Linked DNA regions of Stegostoma tigrinum. The protein of the gene in region 2 interacts with the protein of the main gene of each other region in a pairwise test. Links are inferred from orthologs where the notes say so. Each region holds a gene or a part of one and is shown on either strand. Other genes may lie near its edges.

What was found.
Region 1: the proteins of l3mbtl3 (region 2) and ttc19 interact in binary tests that used the Homo sapiens proteins (3 or more experiments, as listed by UniProt). The two-hybrid records come from large-scale screens. The link is inferred for Stegostoma tigrinum from reciprocal best matches to the Homo sapiens genes L3MBTL3 and TTC19.
Region 3: the proteins of l3mbtl3 (region 2) and plekhf1 interact in binary tests that used the Homo sapiens proteins (3 or more experiments, as listed by UniProt). The two-hybrid records come from large-scale screens. The link is inferred for Stegostoma tigrinum from reciprocal best matches to the Homo sapiens genes L3MBTL3 and PLEKHF1.

What each region holds. Positions count from the first base shown.
Region 1 is NC_081358.1:127,544,310-127,552,052, forward strand, and holds the start of ttc19 (tetratricopeptide repeat protein 19, mitochondrial), read right to left. Parts: upstream 3,005-7,743; 5' UTR 2,971-3,004; coding exon 2,811-2,970; intron 1,984-2,810; exon of another isoform or gene 1,859-1,983; coding exon of another isoform or gene 1,816-1,858; intron 1,509-1,815; coding exon 1,417-1,508; intron 1-1,416. UniProt on the Homo sapiens protein: Required for the preservation of the structural and functional integrity of mitochondrial respiratory complex III by allowing the physiological turnover of the Rieske protein UQCRFS1.
Region 2 is NC_081357.1:70,028,726-70,036,818, reverse strand, and holds the start of l3mbtl3 (lethal(3)malignant brain tumor-like protein 3), read right to left. Parts: upstream 3,043-8,093; 5' UTR 2,833-3,042; intron 1-2,832. UniProt on the Homo sapiens protein: Is a negative regulator of Notch target genes expression, required for RBPJ-mediated transcriptional repression. It recruits KDM1A to Notch-responsive elements and promotes KDM1A-mediated H3K4me demethylation.
Region 3 is NC_081369.1:32,514,715-32,521,990, reverse strand, and holds the start of plekhf1 (pleckstrin homology domain-containing family F member 1), read right to left. Parts: upstream 3,068-7,276; 5' UTR 2,976-3,067; coding exon 2,972-2,975; intron 1-2,971. UniProt on the Homo sapiens protein: May induce apoptosis through the lysosomal-mitochondrial pathway. Translocates to the lysosome initiating the permeabilization of lysosomal membrane (LMP) and resulting in the release of CTSD and CTSL to the cytoplasm.

The DNA.
Region 1 (7,743 bases), on a different chromosome or scaffold from region 2:
TATCTCACAAGAGTATCCCTCCTTATCCAGGATCAAACTACTGAACCTTCTCTAAACTGTCTCCAATGCCAGTGTGCCTTTTATTGGATAAGGGGCTCAGAACTGCTTCAAGTATTCAACTACAGTCTGACTTGTATAGGCCTTGTATAGTTTTAGCAAAATGACTCATTCCCTTTGTAAAAGGAAAGCGAAGATTGCATTTGTCTTCCCTATTACCTGCTGAACTTGGATACTGGCAATTTGAGATCCGTGCATGAGAAATCACAAACTCTATGCTGTAGCTTTCTGCAGGCTTTCTCTATTTAAATAATATTTGCCTCCTCTATTCTTCCTCACATGTCCACCACATAATATTCCATTTAAAGTTTTTGCCCACTTGCTTAACCTGCCTATATGCCTCTGCAAAGTCTTTGTGTCACCCTCACTACGAGCCTTTCCACCTATCTTTGTGCTGTCCACAAATTGGACTACAGTACAAATCATGAAAAGGGTAGATAGAAGTGGATAGTGAGAAGTTCCTTCCACTTGCAAAAGGAAGGAAAATGAGATGGCGTAAATTAGAAGTCTCGCAAAAGCAGCAAATGTGATGAGAGTTCATTCTTTTCCACCTAGTGAACAATTAGGGTCTGGAACGTGCAGCCTGGAAACATGGTCGAGGCAGCATTCACTGATTACTTGGATACAATAACATGCAAGAGTGTGGCGGAGCAAGGACGTAGGAGATCGGTCACACATGACAATGTTCATTTGAGGAACTGTCGCGCCCAATGGCATCAATCTGCACCATAACAATTCTGTGATATATTGCAAATAATTGCAAGAACAGTATTGATCCCTATGGCACTCAACTAGTTATAGGTTATCATCTGAAAATACCCTCCGTTATACAAACTGATGTTTTAGCCAATTCTCTATCCAGGCTAATATAGTGCCTCCTTCTCTTATTAAATAGCATTATGTGTGGTACCTTCTCAAACACCTTCTGAAAATCCTAACACATCACATTCACACTTTTCCCCTTATCTAATCCTCTTCATTATTACCTCAAAAGAATTCTAGAGAACTTATCAGGCATGTTTCCCATTGATGAAGCCATCTTACTATTGCTTGATTATATTTCTAAATGCTCTGCTATTACATCCTTTATAAAAGACGCTAGCACTTTCCCCAACAAGTGATGTTAAGGTAACTGGCTTACAGTTACCAAGCATTTTGGTTGCTTCTGTTTTCAAATTAAGGTGTTACATTGGCAGCTTTATTATACTTGATCCGTGCTGACACCACAAGTTTATTCCTCCTGGTAAGGGTGGACGTCATTTGGGCCAGAATGGACAGCCAGAGGACCTACTGCTGACTGATGAGATGACAATGTTTGAGCTGGCATAAAGGGAGAGTGAGAAGCAAACCATTCTGAACCTTGGACTTTTTGATCAGTAGGATGATCGCATCCTCAGGGTCCTGTTGCTCCTTCTCATGGTGCGAGAACAACTGGATGGCAGCAAGAAACGCTGGAGAGAAGGAAATCAGAAAACAGCACTTTAGAGAAAGTGAAAGAAAAGGAGGCTGGTTGGTGATCACAATTATGAGAGAGTCCAGAGTGAAGTAAGTGGATTGGCATGCTGACTATAATGGGGCAATCACCAGGGTAGGGGGAGGAACAGGGGTGAACACTGCAGGGAGGGAGGGCGACATATGTCCACAGAACATGAAAAACCTATCTCTTGATCCTGTAACTAGGGAACCAACATCCATGAGGACAGGATCACAACACTGGGTGGAGTGAGATCAGCTGGAGATCACTGTTCACTGCCCTACCCCAAGAGGCAGGGCACACCGCCTGACAAGCTCCATGTCCCATCGATGCCAGGACAACAGCCCCGTCTCCCGAGAGGCTGCCCCCCACTGAGAGAGCAACTTCAAACCTCTCAGGAAAGACTCCCCATAGTCCGTGGGGGGGGGTGATAGGGGAAGGTCGGGTGGGTGTGGGACGGGGGGGGGGTGATAGGGGAAGATCAGGTGGGTGTGGGACGGGGGGGGTGATAGGGGAAGGTCGGGTGGGTGTGGGACGGGGGGGGGTGATAGGGGAAGATCAGGTGGGTGTGGGACGGGGGGGGGGTGATAGGGGAAGATCAGGTGGGTGTGGGACGGGGGGGGTGATAGGGGAAGGTCGGGTGGGTGTGGGACGGGGGGGGGTGATAGGGGAAGATCAGGTGGGTGTGGGACGGGGGGGGTGATAGGGGAAGGTCAGGTGGGTGTGGGACGGGTGGGTGGGGGTCACGGGGAAGAGGAGAACGGGGTAGGTGGAGGAGGGGGGGGAGAAGAAGAGAGGAAGGTCACGCGGGGGGGAAAGAGGGGAAGGTCACGGGGGGGGGAAGAGGGGAAGGTCACGGGGGGGGGAAGAGGGGAAGGTCACGGGGGGGGGAAGAGGGGAAGGTCACGGGGGGGGAAGAGGGGAAGGTCACGGGGGGGGGAAAGAGGGGAAGGTCACAGGGTGGGTGGGGAGGGGAAGGTCACGGGGAGGGGTGGGGCAAGGTCACGGGGAGAGGGGGTGGGGCAAGGTCACGGGGAGAGGGGTGGGGCAAGGTCACGGGGAGAGGGGTGGGGCAAGGTCACGGGGAGAGGGGTGGGGCAAGGTCACGGGGAGGGGTGGGGATCACGGTGAGGGTCAGAGCACTGCATGGACCCTGCGGCCCGGGCCACGGGAGCCCACAGAGAGGGGAATCAGGTCGGGACTGAGGACGTCGGGGGGAGGCGGGGTCAGTGCAGGCTCCGCCCAGGGCCGGGTGACCGACCGGTTCCACCCCTCTTACCCACTGCCGCCGCGCTCAGGTTCCCATTTCCGGGGCGGCCGCGGCTCTCCGTTCGGGCGTGGGCGTTGGCCGGGGCGGGGGCGGGGGCCGCGGCCCAGGCGCCGCGAATCCTGACCCTTCGGCCGCAGCTCAGGCCCCGGGATACTGCCGACGGCAGCATCACCCCGGCAACGGGGCGGAAACACGTCAACACCGGAAACAGGTAGCGGAACATTTGATCAACAGACATTTAAAGGGCCAGGTACCCCCATGTTCTTAAAGGGCCAGGTACCCCCATGTTCTTAAAGGGCCAGGTACCCCCATGTTCTTAAAGGAGTCTGGAATTAAAGTGTCTGGGTGGCGGGATGTGTGTCAGACTGATTTCTGATTTTGTGAGAACACGTTTTCTCACTGCTTTTTTGGTGGACTTTATAAAGTTAAGGTGTAAATTTAACCAGAAATAGTGTTTATTTCACACATTGTCAGGTGTACGGTGGGCAATACTTTACAACAGATACATGCTGACATGGCTGCACAAGGATTAAATTGAAAAGGATAAGGCAATTGTTCAGTTCGTAAAAAGTGCAAACAAACCGAGTGATAAAATGTGAGGCTGGATGAACACAGCAGGCCAAGCAGCATCTCAGGAGCACAAAAGCTGACGTTTCGGGCCTAGACCCTTCATCAGAGAGGGGGATGGGGGGAGGGAACTGGAATAAATAGGGAGAGAGGGGGAGGCGGACCGAAGATGGAGAGAAAAGAAGATAGGTGGAGAGAGTGTAGGTGGGGAGGTAGGGAGGGGATAGGTCAGTCCAGGGAAGACGGACAGGTCAAGGAGGTGGGATGAGGTTAGTAGGTAGCTGGGGGTGCGGCTTGGTGTGGGAGGAAGGGATGGGTGAGAGGAAGAACCGGTTAGGGAGGCAGAGACCGGTTGGACTGGTTTTGGGATGCAGTGGGTGGGGGGGAAGAGCTGGGCTGGTTGTGTGGTGCAGTGGGGGGAGGGGACGAACTGGGCTGGTTTAGGGATGCAGTGGGGGAAGGGGAGATTTTGAAACTGGTGAAGTCCACATTGATACCATATGGCTGCAGGGTTCCCAGGCGGAATATGAGTTGCTGTTCCTGCAACCTTCGGGTGGCATCATTGTGGCAGTGCAGGAGGCCCATGATGGACATGTCATCAAGAGAATGGGAGGGGGAGTGGAAATGGTTTGCGACTGGGAGGTGCAGTTGTTTTTTGCGAACTGAGCGGAGGTGTTCTGCAAAGCGGTCCCCAAGCCTCCTTGGCAACTGCACCTCCCAGTCGCAAACCATTTCCACTCCCCCTCCCATTCTCTTGATGACATGTCCATCATGGGCCTCCTGCACTGCCACAATGATGCCACCCGAAGGTTGCAGGAACAGCAACTCATATTCCGCCTGGGAACCCTGCAGCCATATGGTATCAATGTGGACTTCACCCGTTTCAAAATCTCCCCTTCCCCTACTGCATCCCTCAACCAGCCCAGTTCGTCCCCTCCCCCCACTGCACCACACAACCAGCCCAGCTCTTCCCCCCCACCCACTGCATCCCAAAACCAGTCCAAACTGTCTCTGCCTCCCTAACCGGTTCTTCCTCTCACCCATCCCTTCCTCCCACCCCAAGCCGCACCCCCCGCTACCTACTAACCTCATCCCACCTCCTTGACCTGTCCGTCTTCCCTGGACTGACCTATCCCCTCCCTACCTCCCCACCTACACTCTCTCCACCTATCTTCTTTACTCTCCATCTTCGGTCCGCCTCCCCCTCTCTCCCTATTTATTCCAGTTCCCTCCCCCCATCCCCCTCTCTGATGAAGGGTCTAGGCCCGAAACGTCAGCTTTTGTGCTCCTGAGATGCTGCTTGGCCTGCTGTGTTCATCCAGCCTCACATTTTATTATCTTGGAATCTCCAGCATCTGCAGTCCCCATTATCTCTAACAAACCGAGTGATACCAGTTCATCAGTGTCTTTGATTTTGAAAATAGAAACCAAATGGTTGAGGCCAGAAGTCGCAGCATGAAATGAGGATGAATGGTGATCGATTGGCTGACGAGCTGTTCAGAAGTCAGAGATAATTTGTTCCCCTTAAAAATTCCTTATAAACTCAACTCAAGAATATTCATAGAATCCCTGCAGTGTGGTAGCAAGCCATTAAAGTCCATCAAGTCCACACCACCCCTCTGAAGAGCGTCCCATCCAGACCCATCCCAACTGTCTTATCCCCTGCCTTTCCCATGCTTAATCCACGCCAATTCTTGGACACTGTGGGCAATTTCCCATGGCCTGTTCACATAACTTGCAAACCTTTGGACTGTGGGAGGAAACCAGAGCACCTGGAAAAAAAAACAGAGATAATGGGAACTGCAGATGCTGGAGAATCCAAGATAACAAAGTGTGAAGCTGGATGAACACAGCAGGACAAGCAGCATCTTACCACACAGGGACAGGGAGAATGTGAAAATTTCACATGTGGGTGAAATTGAACCCAGGTCCCTAGCATTATGAGGCAGCAGTACTGACCACTGAGCCACCATGCTGCCTAATATTGCTGTAATTTAATTTTGATTTAACTGCTTTAACAAAAGAAGGATGATTACTTTGAGAGCACACAACATACAGGTTCTGACGAGTTATTCCTGACCCGAAGCATTAACGTCTTTTTTTCTCCACAGAACCTGCCAGACCTATTTGGTTTCTCCAGCAATTTCTGTGCTTTTCAAATTTGTTTGCCAGATGCTGTAGTATTTTGCTTTTATACAAAAAGCACGTTATTAACTGCTTTTTACATGGCAGAGTCTTCTCCTTTGTCGCCTGGAATTATGTGTTTCGATATCATTGAATATATCTGTAAATAAATACATACAGCAGAATTAAAAGGTTCAGAACTGAAGGAACCATGTGATCAAGCTTCCAGGGGGGAGGGCATGTTGGTGGAGGGGTGCAGAGTGAAGAGGGGTGTAACCAGTTATTTTGAGACAAACAGTTGCATTCCACATAAACACGTCTGCTACAGAATAGGGCTACCTTCTAATTTTATTGAGGATGATATTCTTCCCAGGAACAATCAGTCTCTGTGGCACTTTATAACACAATAGTTGGAATTCCAGTCCCATCATGGGGTGTTGATTATCCAACTGACTCTGACTTCAGAGAAGCTTCTGGTTAGTTAATGCTAAGTTTTTGTAACCAAGTGAGCACTAGTGAGTGGTATCTTTGTGCACTTTTTGCTGTACTTTATGTGTTCCTGTATTTAGTACATGTGACAAATAAATGAATCTAAGTCCAGTGACATTATTGTGACAGCATCTTTATTGGGCTGTTTAATATGTTTCTAAGAGTCATAGAACATAGAACAATACAGTGCAGAACAGGCCCTTCGGCCCTCAATGTTGCGCCGACCTGTGAACTAATCTAAGCCCCTCCCCCTACATTCTCCCATCATTATCCATATGCTTATCCAAGTCACTAAATATAGCCCTAAGAGAAACAATTAATCACTTTTTTTCTTTACAGAACCAGCTTCAGCAGTGCCCTAGACCAGCAATAGTAGGACATTCAGCCCATCGAGTCTGTTCCGCAATTCAATGAGATCATGGCTAATCTGATAATCCTCAACTCCACCTTCCTGCCTTTTCTTCACAACCCTTGATTCCCTTTGCTGATGAAAAATCAGTCTTAAATATACTTAATGACCCTGTCTCAAAAGCCCTCTGTGGTAAACAATTCCACATCTTCACAGCCCTCCAAAACAGGAAATTCCTCCTCATCTTTGTCTTAAATGTACGAGCCTTTATTCTGAGATTAGACCCTCTGGTCCTAAACTGTCTGATCTTTCTGCATTGACACTGTAAAGCCCGTAAGAAACTTGCATGGTTCAATAACGTTGTCTCTCGCTTTTCTAAATGACAATGAGTACAGGCCCAATCTATTCAACCTCTCTTTATAAGACGGTTACACTGTACCTCGCATCAGCCACGTGAACCTTCTCTGGGCTGTCTCCAATGCAAGGACATCTTTTCTTAGATAAGGGGCACAATTTTAATTCTAAAAAGGCATTTCTTACAATGTTGTCAATTTCTGCTGTTTTTCCTTGTTCTCTTGTAATTGCCCTGATGGTTGTTTTTTTCTGTCCTTAGTTTGCATTGTTTGTCCTGTTTTGTTTTCTATCATTATTTAGCATCATTCAATAATTTTAATAAGCACAGTATGGACTCAATGGACTCCCAGCAAATTCTAAAACATTGATATAAATTGCAAGAAGCTGAGGCCCCAGCTCTCCTGTGATAGCAAATGCAATTCTATTATTCAAAAAGTGAGGAAGACAGAACACTCAGGTGATGCTGAGGAAGTGGGGAGGCTGCAGAATGACTTGGACAGGCTAGAAGAGTGAGAAAAGAAGTAGCAGATGGAATACAATGTGGGAAAGCTTTGGTAGGAAATTTGGTAGGAAGAGTAGAGGCTGAGACCATTTTCTAAATGGGGAAAGGCTTCAGAAATCTGAAGCACAAAGGGACTCAGTCATAGAATCATAGAAAGAGGCCCTTCAACCCAAACTGGTCCATGCTGACCATGGTGCCCATTCAGCTAGTTCCAATTGGCCACATTTGGTCCATATCCCTCTAAACCCTTCCTATCCATGTACTATCCAAATGTTTTCTAAATGTTGCTATTGTACCTGCCTCAACTGCTTTCCCTGGCAGCACAATCCATATACTCACCACTCTCTGTCTGGAGAAGTTGCCCATCAGATACCCCTTAAAATCTTTCCCCTCTCACTTTAAACTTATGCCCTTCTAGTTTCCGATTCCCCGTCCCTGCGGAAAAAAGACTGTATGCATTCATCCTATCTACAGCTCTCATGATTTTATACACCTCAGTAAGGTCACCCCTCATTCTCCTACATTCCAAGGAATAAAGTCCTATCCTGGCCAACCTC
Region 2 (8,093 bases):
TCTTTTTAAATCTGATTCAAAACCTGTTTGCCACAGATGTGCAGGGACAGAGTCCTTGTATCTGAAATAGACAGATTGTCGTTCAGTAGGGGAATCAGGTTTATGGAGAAAGGACAGGAAAGTGGACGTAAGGAATTTCAGATCAACCACAATTCTATTGAATGGTAAAGCAGGTTTAAGGGGCTGAACTCCTGTTCCTGTTCCTTACACTTATGGTTGTCTGATCCTTCAGTCAAGTATGACATGACAAATTCCAATCAGACAATTGATGTCAGCTGAAATTGTTTGTCAATACCCTCAAGTAATGATTGTGAAGTGACGGCAGTGTGAGTTGCTGTGATTCTCCATGCAGCCAAAAAGCTTGCCAGCTTTCTCAATGTAAAATATGAACAAAGAATGGGTACAGGTAATAGCAAAGAGTGATAAGTATCCATAAAAGTGTACTCAAAACAGGCAGTCAGCTGCTTCAAAAAGTAAGACTGAAAAACAAATTGTCTTCTCAAAGATTTTGAAAGAGAAACCAGTACATTGAGCCACTGAAAGGCCCAAGTTTGATAGAAGAACCTTGTGCATAAATAAGCAAACCAATATTCCTCTGAGAAACCAATTTGCTGATAGCAACTTCCTTTCTCCATAAACTATTATTCACTTAAGTAACTCATCAAACTCAGCGCAGCATCTGGGACAAAGCCAAAGCTAAATCGAAAACAAAGGAGAACGTCAGTTGATCAATTGTTCACTCTAGCAAATGGTTTGCTAAGCCACATATAGAGCAGATAGGCAATGAATAAATGCTGGATAATGCAACAAATTTGGATGAGTGAATACCTTATAGTTGTAACTAACTGTCAATTTCATCTGATGTAAGACAGTAATGCTCACTCATTTCCTTGTTAGTCACAGTTATCATAAAAAAATCTGTATTTTGGAATATCATGAGACAAAAATAAGCAATAAGATGGACTTCAACTCCAGCAGAACATGTGTATTTTCAATGTGATCTGACTTAATTGTAGTACCAAGACAAAACAATTAAAAAAAACTAGTGGACTCATTCCTCACTGATCATACGATGAAGAACACCAGCAGATAATCAGAAAAAGGACTGTGTTTTTTGTTCAAATTCCTCCAATGTTCATGAAGTGTGATAGTTTTGGTGGAAGAATATAGTTTGAAACTTACTTCGTATTAAATAAATCATTTTAACTAAGTCAGTCAATCAACAGCAAGTAAATATTCCAACAGTATTTCTCCAATCCTGAAAGACAGCCTAGAACAGTTTCCCAGGCGGCATGTGAATCAGTGGCAAATGCACTTAGCTCATGCTTGTATCAATCAGAACACTTAACTCGAAAGAATGCACAGCGGACTGGGCTGTCCCGATTAAAAGATGCTTTCTGACTGTTTCAGCAATAAATAAAATTACTCTAATTGAAGGATAAAAACAAAACGCGGGCAAACAGTGCCTTTAAATGTGAACAATTAACTTCCCACGTTTACCTTCAAACACAATCACCTCGTCCTGACAGCCAAATATACTATCCTTCCCTGCACCTCTAGACAAAAACCATTTGAGGTCGCTCTGCATTATCTTTTAAAAAAAGATGTTTTGTACTTGAAAGTTTCCAGAATGCACTCAACTATGCACAGTAGTTTGAAATAATGAACACAAAAGAAAATGCATTTCAGTTACATATTTACTGTCGTTATTAACAACATTCGCACCCAATTTACCGATAAAATGAATATGAATTAACGTTACTTGAAACAACCCTGGAGATAAATAAATGAAACTGAAATTTTATATATAACGTCGTCAGACTTTCCTCTTATCAAGTCCGAGGTTCATTTGACAGAAATTTAAATTCGTGGATATCAAGTGAGTTTTAGATTATAAATTGTGTAGCTAATCCTTACACTGTCAATCAGCCTAGGTGCTCGATTAACAATTAGAAAAAAAACTTAACCTACTGGAGGATTTAATAATTTAAATGTGCATCACAATTGCGTGCACTTCCTGAAATAAACTCGGTAGTTTCTCCCCAAGCCTGGGCTCTATCCATATCTATTTTCCCCCCTCTTTCTTTCCAAACCCCCCTCACATTCTCTCTCTCTTTTGCAGAATCCACCCTGAGATTTCTCTTCCTCAAACACTTCTTGTATTTTATTTGGGCAGTTTCTCAAAATGGCGGAGTCTATATTCCTGTAAAGGCCTAAAAAGGAGACACGTTGCATTTTAAAACGTGAATTTATTGCATCCCTTTCTCTTTTAGTAAGAAAACAAAAAAAGGGGGGTAATGAGAGCGCGGCGCGGAAACATTGTATCGAGCGGCGGCTCGCTCCCATTCCAATGGAAGCCTCGCACTTTGCCCGGGTTCCATAAAATGGTCTGTGTCACAGGAGAGTTCAGTGTTTGAAATAATTATTATAATCGCCAACTATCAATACTCATCATTCACCGGCACTGCTCAAACACTGGTTCACTCTCTATTTAAATTAGTTTTTCTCCCCCCTTCTCTATTTTTTCTCCCCGTTTGTAATAATTTATTTCTAATTGCTAAAGGGGACTTGTGCTGCTCTGCAGACACACACTCATACAGTCCCCGGCCACTCGCTTCTCTGCAACTACTTTTATTTAAGTTGCACCAAATGCAATTAGGATAAACGCCAGGGAGTGGAGAGGGGTTTAAAAAAAAGGAGATTGAGGGGAGGAGGGAGGAAGTTAAATTCCCAGACGGCGGGAGGGGCCACCTAAATACACCATTCGTTGTCTGACAGCTTTTGCTCCTGGTTTATTTTCTTTTTAAAATTAAAAATTACACCGTTTCTTACCCAAATTCTGTCACGAGTAGCAAATTTCCAGGTCGCCAGTGCGCACGCGCGCGGGACAGCTGCTCGCAAGGAACTGCAGAGCAAGAGAGGAAAAAAAACTAGACACTGAGGCACTCACCCACCTTCTGTGGGCTTTCTTGTAAACGTCTGCCGTTCAATCGCGTTTATTTCTTATTTGCATATTATTGCTGTCTCATTTTGACATCCAACTTGATCAGCCTATTAAGTACATTGTAATTAAAATGCGTGCACTAATTCAAAACCTGGACGCTGTTCATCCTCAGGATGTAATGTATTTCCGAAGAAAGGAACTTGCATTTGTAGGCTTAGTTATTTGGAGGCAACGATCCCTCTGACTCATATTTGTCCGTGCGCGTCTGTGTTGATCTAAGTTACTATTGACTGCAAAGACTGATTTTCGTTTTGGCCAACTGAGTGAACTACATTTTATTCAAAGTGCTCTGTTTCCTTTCATTTCCCCCTGTTTTGTGACGTTTTATTTGCAAATATTCGTACCTCTTTTAAGGTACAAATAGAAAGGGGGAAATGAAAACAACACTCATTCAGTTGCAATAACTGGTATTGCTGAACAGTGAAGTAATTTTGGCAGATAATGCTGGAATTTTGGCTGAAATCACTGAAAATTTAGTTAGGAAGTACAAACTGAGGTTCAATTGTTCACTCTAAGGTGTATTTTCTTAATAATCAGTCAGATGTTTTCTCACAATGAAGTATAAGTAAAGGTTTTTAAAAATTTTCTTCAATAAATGAAGCTTTTATCACCCTCAATCCATTTTTCATCAGTTCAGAGACTGAGTGTCACTTGCAAGGCTGACACTAGACGACTTACTTCAGGCAGTTCATCCTTTATGTTCTTACATAGGTCCTGGCCTAACTCAACTTAAAGAGACTCTTGAACCGCTTAAGAGGGAATAGCAGTTAAAGTGATTAACTATTGGTTGTTTCATGGCTTTAATGCTTGAGTACTTTCTAAAAAGTGGGCTTGAATTAAAGCAGGGGTTCACCCACACGTATCAGAGGCAAGGACTCCTGTAAGGAAATCTACCAGGTTTCAGAGCTGGTGCTTCAGTTTCCAGTTGTCATTCTGATTGGACTCGGGTCTGAACCCAACGCTCCTCGCTGCAAGACGGGAAGATTATCACGGCTCTATTTGTTTCTCTGACTGGCCATGAACATCACGCTCGAGGCCAACAAGTGTTTAAAAACATTGATTCCATTTGAGCAGAATCCAGATAAAATCACCAGTGCCACAGCAAAAGGTCAGAGAATTTTATTGTCAGTGAGTTCATCAATAATGCATCAACTTGCATTTATCTAGCAACTTCATGAACTAAAACAACAGACGTGCTTCAGAGGAGCACTACAAAGCAGAAATAGATATTCAGTCACATTAGGAGACTGAGAACAGATGATTAAGTGCTTGGGTCCTGATTTTCATTCCCAGGTCAGGTATGCAGAGTTAGGAGAAATGCCAGTTCCATGAGCCTGTCCTTTAAAAATGGCCATCTGCACTTTCAATTTTTGTTCTAGCAGGCTGGGCTGGATTGAGAGGTGGGTCAGGTGACCCAGAGGAGTTCAGGAAGCTGCCTGGTTCCTGAGGCATTCTGGGCAGAAAGCCTGCCTAGTGATTCTGGCACTATGTCTAAAGTTTAAGAATAAACTTTAAAACAAAAACAGCCCTCATTCCCCATGCCCCTGTTTGCTTGTGTATGACCCCACCATAGCCCCTTGCCAATTTATGTCCAATTACCCATCACTGATGTCCCACTTACCCTCTATGCCAAATGAGCCCATCTACCTAATTCCATGCCTCCATATATGTCTTTTACTCCAACAGCTGTTGTGGTCCTTATACCTTTTATACCAATTATTTTACACCCACCTCTCATGTCAACTCACCTGTTATGCAGCATGGTCATTCATCAGGAGGGAAAATAAAATTACTTGTATATGGATGATGTCACTGTTGAAACCAAAACCACTTCTATTGATTAAAAAAATCCAATACACTGTTTAACTAAATTATATATGTTAACAAATACTTCACTTGTGTTTCAATGACTTGTGTAAATAAGCGTGTTGCTTGAGAATTTAATAACCAACGTAAATAAACATTTTTAAAAACTCTGATTTAGGCATTTAATCCTTTACGTCAACAAACATTTCAATCAAATAAATAGTTGGAGCTGCCCAACAAAAGGCACCACATTGTGTCGATGATACTTTAGGCAATCAGTAAGCAGCATAAATTTAAAATGGCTTTATGTGGGATGCATTTTGAAATAGTGGATACATTTTCATAATTTTACATTGTTTGGATATTTTCTTGAAAGTTTTGCAAACCTAATGTGTTAATGCACTTTTTAATTCATAAGCATATCATTTTCTATCCCAAAGGGCACCTTACCTCTCCAAAAGGGAAAAAAATATTAATCTCTCTGACTTCTACGCTTTGCACTTGCTCTCATGCTCATCCCCACACATTTTCCAAACCTCACCGTTACCAACTCATGAAACCAAATGTCCCCATGCATCCCAATGTCTATAAAATTCATACGCCAGCCCAGTGCCTACTTCCACCTGCTACCATTTCCCTTGTCACTTACTATGTGAGCTAATTAAGCATCCTGAGTGAAACCAGCTCCAACAACGGGAAGCTTAACACCATTCAGGACAAAGCAGCTTGCTTGATTCAATTCCCTCTATCAAGAGCAGCACTTATACAGTTAATGGTAGGGCCCTGGGTAGCACTGTCAAACAGAGACACCTAAAGATTCAGGTACATAGTTCTTTGAAAGCAGTGTCACAGGTAAACAGGGTAGTTAAGAAGGCATTTAGTACGCTTGACTTCATTGCTCAGACCATTGAGTGTAGGAGTTCGGATGTCATGTTGAGGTTCTACAGAACGTTATGTAGGCCACTTTTCAACAACTGTGCACAGTTCTGATCTGATATAAGAAGGATATTATTAAATTGGAGACTGTTCAGAAAAGATTTACAAGAATGTCGTTAGGAGGGTTTGAGTTATATGGTTAGGCTGGGACTTCTTTCCCTGGAGCATAGGAGCTTGAGGGATGACCATATAGATGTTTATAAAATGAAGAGGGGCATAGATAAGGTGAATAGTAAAGGTCTTTTCCCTAGGATGGGGAAGTTCAAAACTAGGGTACATATTTTTAAAGTAAGAGGAGAAAGATTTAAAAGGGAATAAAAATGGAAAGAACTGCAGATGCTATAAATCAGCAACGAAAACAAGGTTCCTGGAAAAGCTCAGCAGGTCTGGCAACACCCATGAAGGAGAAAGCAAAGTTAATGTTTCAGGTCCACTGACCCCTCCTCAGAACTGATTTAAAAGGGATTTAAAGATTTAAAAGGGACCTGAGGGGCAACCTTTTCACACAGAGGGCCGTTAGTATGTGGAATGAACTGCCAGAAGAAGTGGTAGATGCAGGTACAGTGACAACAGTTAAAAGATATTTAGACAGCTACATGAATAGGAAATGTTGAGAGAGATATGGGCCAAATGCTGGCAAGTGGGATGCTTGCTTTTTCTGATTTATATAAGAGGACACCCTCAAATCCCTTTGTGCAGCAGCTTTGTGCAGTCTTTCCCCACAATAATAATATTTAGCTCCTCTATTCATCCTGCCAAAATGCATAATATTACATTTTCTCACATTACAGTTTGTCACATAAATTCTATCTGCCAAGTTTAGTTTGGGAAAATTGCTTGGCATAGATGAATTGGACTGAAGTGCCTGTTTCTGTGCTGCATGACCTGCATGACTAGGGATATTCAAAATGTTTTGTGTGAGGAAAATTGTGTCTCACAAACTTTGATTGTGTTATTTGGGGAGTTACCAAAAATATTGATGATGGCAGAGCAGTAGACATTGTTTGTTTGGATTTTAGTAGAACATTTGACAAAGTTTTGCATGGTGGACCAATTAGTAAAGTTTGGTCACATGGGATTCAGGGTGAACTTGCCAATTGGATAGGTAATTGATTTAATGGCAGGAGAGAGAGAGTAATAGTGGAGGGTTGCTCTTCAGACTGGTGGTCTGTGACCAATGGTGTTCTACAGGGATTGGCCCTGGGTCGTCATTTGTTTGTCATTTATGTAAATGATTTGGATGAGAATTTAGAAGGCATGGTCAGTACATTTGCGGATGACACCAAAATTGTTGGCATTGTAGACAGTGAAGAAGGTTTTGTAAGATTGTGAAGGGATCTTGATCAAATGGGTGAATGGGCTGAAAAACAGCAGTTGTAGTTCAATCTGGACAAGTGTGAGTTATTGTAATTTGGTGCAACAAACAAGGGTTGGGCTTGTATAATTAATGATAGGGCCTTGGGTAGTGTCGTAGAACAGAGAGACCTAGGGGTACAGGTACATAATTCTTTAAAGTTTGTGTCGCATATAGATAGGATGGTTAAGAAGGCATTTGGCATGCTTGCCTTCATTGCTCAGTTGTTTGAGTATAGGAGTTGGTATGTTATGTTGTGGTTGTGCAGGGCATTGGTGAGGCCTCTTCTGGAATACTGTGTCAAGTTCTGGTCTCCCAATTATAGGAAGGATATTATCAAGCTGGAGAGGGTTTAGAGGAGATTTCCCAGAATGTTGTCAGGTATGGAAGATTTGAGTTATAAAGAAAGGCTGGATAGGCTGGGACTTTTTTCACTGGAGCCTAGGAGGTTGAGAGATGACCTGATAGAAGTTTATAAAATAATGAGAGATATAGATAAAGTTGATGGTAGTTGTCTCTTCCCTGAGACAGGGAATTTCAAGACTGGGGACACATTTTTAGGGTGAGAGGAAGGAGATTTATAAAAGACATACAAGGATTTTTTTTACACAGAGGGTGTTTTGCATTTGGGATGAATTTCATGAGGAAGTGGTGGATGTGGGTACAATCACCAAAAGATATTTGGATTTGGATAGATACATAGGAAAAGTTTGGAGGGATATGGGCCAAGAGCAGGTAGATGGGACTAAATTAGTTTGGGATTATGTTCTGCATGGAGTGATTGGACCAAAGGGTCTGCTTACGTACTGTATGACTCTATGACTCAATGTCCTCCACTACTGACACACAGTGACAGACCGCAAATTGTAGGAGCACAAGAAGGTCATTTAAAAAATCAAGTCTGCTCCACCATTCAATGAGATCAGAGCTGATCTGATAATTGTCAACACTATTTTCCTGCCCAACCCGATCCCCACAACCCTGAATTCACTT
Region 3 (7,276 bases), on a different chromosome or scaffold from region 2:
AGCCTGTGATTTAGACAGTTCATTTTCAACAGTAGTTGCACTTTCTTAAACAAGAGTCACATCATGGAAAGTGCTCAGTGTCATCAAAGTTCTTCAGCTTGTCGATGTTGATTTCTGGTATCCATCTATTTTCCACTGGAGACAGTCAGGAATATATCACATTGTATAACATTGCTGATCCTGGAACAGCTGAGCAGAGTTCATTATTAGCCCTGTTCATTCCAGAAAAATGCTGAATTTGGTGTCCTAATGAAATATACTTTTCTTTTGCCACATAGCTCCTAAGCATGATTTAAGGCAAGAAATTAAAAGTTTCAGCAATGGAGGGAACAAATATCACTAAAACAAAAGCAAGATATTGAGAATGATGGAAATTTGAAACAAAAACACAAAGCACTGCAGACACTAAGCTGGATTGGCAGCAAGTATGGAGTGAGAAACAGGGGTAACTTTTTGAGTCTGAGTGCACTTTTCCTGTGACGTGTTAGATCGGACCCAAAATGTTAATTCTGTTGCTGCATTCACTGATGTTGCCAGGCCAACAGAGAGTTTCCGGTACTTTCTGTTTGTATTTTAGAACAATTATTTTTACTTTACAACAATGAACATTGCCTATCAATACAGAATAGAATAACATGTGTTTTGTTGACCCACCACAGTGACCTGAACAGAGTCTACACACAAAGCTTCTGGCATGCATTCATATAGCACAGCCAGGCTGCATCAGTGTGTGACTATATATACCTTTTAGGCTACCCAGCTAATCATAGGCTCTGTCCAGAATCAGTGTCAGAGAATGATCTTTCTTTTACACTCCAAGTCTTATTTGCAAAAACACAAGAGTCACATCTAGTAATTGAATTGTATTTTTGCCTCAAATGTTTGCACACCTTTGATATACCTTGAAATATATTGTACAAGTATGCATGCAATATTTCGCAGTTCATGCCATTTTTGGCTAAGCTGAAACACAATCTGAACAAGACTTCTATCTCTGCTGGCTATAAGGCTAAATTGCTCAATGTCAGTTTTTATTTGAAATAGATGAAGAAATGAGAATTGATCAAAATTGTCCCTGGGGCATCAGCAACAAGCTGCAGACAGTAGTTGGGTAGCTCATGCAGCTTATGGGTTGGAGAGTTCAAAATTTTAATTAGGCTGGCCCTAGCAGTTGGGGAGCTGATTTGTTGAGACAAGGCAGAGAAAGAAGTACTGAATCTGAAGCAGCACCAACATAGAGAATTTCTCTGGGAACAGGACAATTGCTGCTTCACCTAGTTTCAATCCAGAAAGAAAATAATCTTCCCCTGTTTTTGTGGATAGTTCCTAATCCATTGAGCAGCCCTAAATTAGACATTAAAGATCCAGAACAGTTGATTATGCAGACAGTGTGTTGCTGACAACCATTTTGCATCAGGGTTCAAAACTAGCACTGGGACCTTAATTTTAAGCATTCAAGGCATTTGCCTGGTTACAGAGGGCGCCTATGACACTTGGAAGTCACTGCGCTCTTCCAAGGATCTCTAAGCATAGGAAATTAGGTTATTGTCACGCAAGAAACAGACTCAAATCTATCCAGTTTGCATCCAATAGTCTCAATCCACAACTGGAGATGGCCTCAGAGCACAAAATGGCTCTGAATTCAGTATTTAGGGGATATTTGTGCGCTACAGAAAGCAATAAAAAGTTTGACTGTCTATTATTCTTTATCAATTATTTGTTAGTCCAGAAAGTAAAGATTGATTCTTTCTTCAAATAACCGAAATTCTAATAAATTGGCAATGGAGTGATAATCCATCTTTACGATGTTCTTTAAAACTGACGGTATAAGAATTCAAATTGCAATATAGGGCATTTTTTGTCTGTCATTGGTTTCTTTTTTTCTCGTTGTTGCTTTCCAAACAGCAGGCTTGTGCCTTTAGATGGCATTTCCAAAAAGAGAGAGCTGTGACATCATGCAGTCCTATTTTAGTTTTTGCTTTGTATCCCAAAAGCAAAATGGTGGAATCAACTGATGTCTGGGCACAGGTATGACCTTATTAGCGTAGAAAACTGTTGCTTTTCCCTGTTTGTTTGTATTTTGCTGAATATTATTTTAGTACTGCAGCTATGAAGACCCATTGTTAAAAATTGGACCATTTGTGATCGTCCTATTTTAAAAAGAGAGAGTCTAGATAAGATAGGTATCTTGAAGTTTATCAAGGACATTAACTATTTAAATTGTTAGCATATCACACACTTAAACACAATCTGGGTTTTGTGCTTAATTATGTTATATATCTTACATACACATAGCTGACTGACTGAACACAGTACATTGACTTCATTGCACTATGTTAGAGGTGAAGTGGATACATTTATTTTGGAATGTCACATGTTATAATGTCACATAATGTCTTAAAGTACACCGGTCTGGAATCTATACAATAACAACCAAACTTATGTTTCTTACCAGCAGGGACTGCTGGCGATATCTAGAATATCTTTCTAGAGATATTCAATTAAGAGGGTGCCCCGGGATTGTTGTCAGGGTGGCAGGGGGGAAGGTGAATTTAATCATAAGACTGGAATGGTAGCCAGCAGTCCCTGTGAACAACTGGCAAGCACAAGGCAGGATTCCATGTGCGACTGAAAGATTCCATTGCCCTTGGAAAATCTTTGCTAATTACTTAATGGCGTCAATTGGCTCCCTCTACTACTTGCTAGGTTACCATCAGCACACTCAAGGTGCCCCTAGAAAGGGTGAGAGGCACTGAAATTGACCTGCCAAGTGTCAATCCTTTGCATCCAATCCTATGTCTAAAGATCTAATAAAATTCCCCTTCATGTTGCTTTTACAATCCTGACAAGAACACAAATAGAAGAATTAAATTTTTCACGGCTGATATGCTCACCAAACATTTTGTACTCATAACATAAACAAATAGAAGGAACTTCCATCTTTAGCTGTACACTTGTACAAGATACATACCCATGTGCTTAATTTTCTGAAATTAATTCAGTCGAATATTTGGGTTTTTGCAATTGGCACTTTTCAGTCTTTCCTTTTCATCATTTGATATGCTATTCACCAGAATCCTAAACGAGAAAGACATCAAAGGATTCTAAGGGTAAGGCTCAAAAAGCTTCAGTTCTTCAGTGAATAAAAGAGTCAAACACCAGGACATTGGAATGAAAGACCATTTTGTAAAAAAGGAGTAGGCAAGTTGACATTTTGGACCCAGACCCCTCTTCAGAAATGGGCTACCTGGCCTGCTGTATTCCTCCAGCTGCACATTGTGTTATCTTTGACTGCAGCATCAGCAGTTTTTACTATTTCTGACCGTTTTGTAAAAGCTGTTTTATCCTGCAGTTCTTTCTTCATCCACAGGGAGGAATGACGTGCCTCTTTTTTTTATTTTACACTTGTACTTGTTTGGATGCAATACAGAAAGGAAAGTCAAGGTGGAAATCTCATGTATAAAATGATGCACACTGAATTTCCTTTCTGGCTTAAGTGCAGCCAGAGAAAACTGTGCTTTAAATGTGCCCAGAACATGCATTTGTTTAACTACTCCCATTCCAGGTGACAACTATAACATCTTTCAAATTGTTACAACAAACACTAAGTGATACATAATTTCTTCTGACTCACTGCAAAAAGTAGTCATGGGAAATTATGTAAATATGTCAGTTTAATGATTAAATACTGCATGTTTTGAGATGATTCTGAAATTAAAGGATAAATGTGTCCTCTTGTTGAAACCTGAACTAACCATAGAGGCTGGTGTCCTGTCTCCAAGTTACCCTTTACTTACACATGGAGAGTCTTTGACACTGATCCAGCTCCCTCAGAGCCAGCTCTTACAGGGATTTGTAAACCAGGGCTCCCTGATTGTACCGGATTAACAGGATCAACCAGGGAACTCATATTTGATGATAACTGCCTGGCTGACTTCATTACAATCACTGCAATATCCAACATGAGCAGTTATGTTGAACACTGGGTTACTGTAGTCTGATTTTCTTTGACACAGTGGTGACTGAAATTAACTTTTATTTATTTTTAAATAGAACTGATTGTAAATATTAAGTTATTTGCCAGTTTAAACAAAATAAACATGCCTATTAGCATCTTACACTTCTCTTTAAATTCAGTAGCATTTTAAATAAGAAACTTTAATTTCTTCCTATAATGATGTGAATTTCATTGTTACTAAAACAAACGTCAAATTTTAAAATCAGGCTGTTATTTCTGCCTCCTTTTCCAGTGGGATCACAGCATAGACACGCCGAAAAGCAGAAAAAGTAAAACATTTAGTCCACTGCAGCAATACCATCATTCACAGAACTTCTCACTGATCTGTGACCTAACTGTATTCCATATTCTTTGATGTCTTTGGCTAATGAAAATTGATCACTCAGTTTTGAAATTAACAACTAATCCAGTGTCAATTACTTTTTGTGAAAGAGAGTTTGAAACATCTACCACTCTTTGCATGAAGAAGTGTTTCCTACTTCCATTCTTAAAAAAATGTTTACCTGGTTTTCTTTTACAATGGTTCTCGATGAATACAACATAACTAGACAGTCTCTCCCAATCGATCTTATCTGTTCTTAATATCTTGAAAACTTCAACCAAATCACCCTTAAATATTCCAAATTCCAGGGAATACAACACCAGTTTATGTAATCTCATCAGAATTTTACTTTTGGAGTCAAGGAATTATTCCCGTAAAGCTACACTGCATTATCTCCAAGGCCAATACTTTATATCCCAAGCGTGTGCGGCTCAGAACTGTTCACAGTGCTGCAGGTGTAGCCTAGCCAGGATTTGTATAGCTGTCTTATACCCACTTGCATCCTGTCCCAGCAGATATAAGGACCAGCATTCATTTAACCCTTTTAGTCATAATAGTCTTAATATTCTGTGTGCATGGACCCCATTTCACCAGGTCTCTTCAGATGACCAAAGTCTTTAGCTTTTCACAGGTCGGAAAGTGCTCTGTTTCATCCTTTTATATTTGACTATGCTGAAATCGATTAGCTACAATTTTGCCTATTAGCCTAAACTATCAGTATTTCTTTTGCATTTTCATTTATACTGGTTTCAATACTATCCACCATTGATTCATCATCAAGTCTGGTTAAGCAGCTTTAAAATGCAAGCTTCGAAGAAAATTTCATTCTTCTATGGTGGTGATCAACTAAAAAAAATTCTAAATAAACAACAATTTTAATTCATGAACAATAAAACAAAATTCTTACCATAATTCTTCAAGTGTGTCATTGACTTCTAAAGCACTTCTAAAATAATCACTCCCTTTTTCAGTGATATCATTGTCTCCGAGTCTACAAACAAATATTATCCATTCCATTAATCAGCCACCCAGAAAGTACAGTAACATATAAATTGAAATCCTTAAATATAAAAAGGTACAAATCATAGATGACATACAAGAAAAAGGAAATAGCAGAGCACTTTTAAAGGAGCTATTCTCTTAAAAATAAACAATGATTTGCCTCCAGCCCAGTTAATTCTACAGTGGAAAAGCACATGGAGAAATTTGCTGACCCACCACTAACTGGCGCTTTGAATTAGGAAATGAATACTACTTAAGCCTCTCATAGCACCACGATTGGTATTCACCCAGTCTCATTGCGCAGAGTGGGGCGGAGTGGTGTGTGTGTGTGTGTGTGTGTGTGTGTGTGTGTGTGTGTGTGTGTGTGTGTGTGTGTGTTTGTGTGTGTGTTTGTGTGTGTGTGTGTGTGTGTGTGTGTGTTCGCTCAAGCAACCCAGCATCAGGACTCAGGGTTCCATTTAAGTTGCCAACCCTCCTCCCATCCAGCCCATGACTCCCTTGGCCTGTGCTTAGCTGATCCTAGGCTTCAGGTGGGTGCCTAAGCAACAGCCTCTGGTCCCCCAGTGCCATTTTTAACAATTAAGTGCTGCTGGCTTCTGGTGGGTAAGCAGCTCTTCTTGGGTGGTACTTCTTCCCTTCGGATCATTGATTCTGGGAAAGGCCCTCACTGCCCAATACAGTGTCTGATCAATATTTAACAAGAGAGGTGACACGGGGCTCCCATAGATTTCCAGCTCATGGGCAAGACTCCCATTGCTTTTAGGATTAGATACGATGGACAGTGAGAGCCTTTTTCCTCAGACGGACGTGGCTAGCGTGAGGGGACATAGCTTTAAATTGAGGGGTGATAGATATAGCAAAGATGTCAGAGGCAGGTTATTTACTCAGAAAGTAGTAAGGGCATGGAATGTCCTGCCTGCAACAGTAGTAGACTCTCCAAGTTTAAGGGCATTTAAATGGTCATTGGATAAACATATGGATGATAATGGAATAGTGTATGTTACATGGGCTTCAGTTTGGTTTCACAGGTTGGCGCAACATCGAGAGCCAAAAGGTCTGTACTGCGCTGCAGTGTTCTATGTTCTCTGCCCAATGTAATTGAAGATCAGGGCAAACATCAGCCAGATTCAGCACATGAGCAGACTGGCAAGTGCCAAGCCACCAGGTAATATAAGCTGTCTGTGAAATCAAACTTCAAAGCTCAAATGGAAATAAGTACACCTGGGAGAGTTTGGGATTGGAGAAAATGTTCTGGTGTGAGTTTACATTTAAACAATTACCTTAACTCAACCAAGCTGCAATTTTTTTTCATTGCTTGTGCCATATACATTGCACCTTCATCTCCGATCTTGTTAAACTGCAAACTGAAACAAGACAAATAAATATATTTAATTACCCTTCAATAATGAGAATAGCCCCCTTAGTTCCAAAGTAACTCAATTTGTTAACACTGTGAGCTTTTTTCTTTCTATTTATGATCTTCATTTTGCTTGGCCAGAGGGAGAGTCCCACTGTCGAACAAAATGAAGATCATTGAACTCCAAGGTTCAATCTTCAACAGATGCGAGTTGAGGTCATTTAACTCCAGGTGGTTATGGAGCGTTGGTTCATAGCCCACAGGTGAAAGAGGCATAATGAAATTGAGCCAGTCTCTCTAGTTTTAGAGTTAGTGATTTCTACATTGCCATCCATTGATAAGAAGTTAACAACCGTCTCAGTTTTAGACACATTTGCAATAATGGCTGTGAATATTTAGATTCATGGATGAAGAAATGCACGCTTAGTAATGATGGAACCATCCTGCAACCAGGAAACTGCTTTCAGAAAGGAAGGGAAAAAAATGGGGATTTACAAAACAGAAAGTTCAATTATCTGGCAGTAATGGAACAGTGATTTGGAGCACCAAGTGTAGTCATTCATTTGTAGAGTGCAGG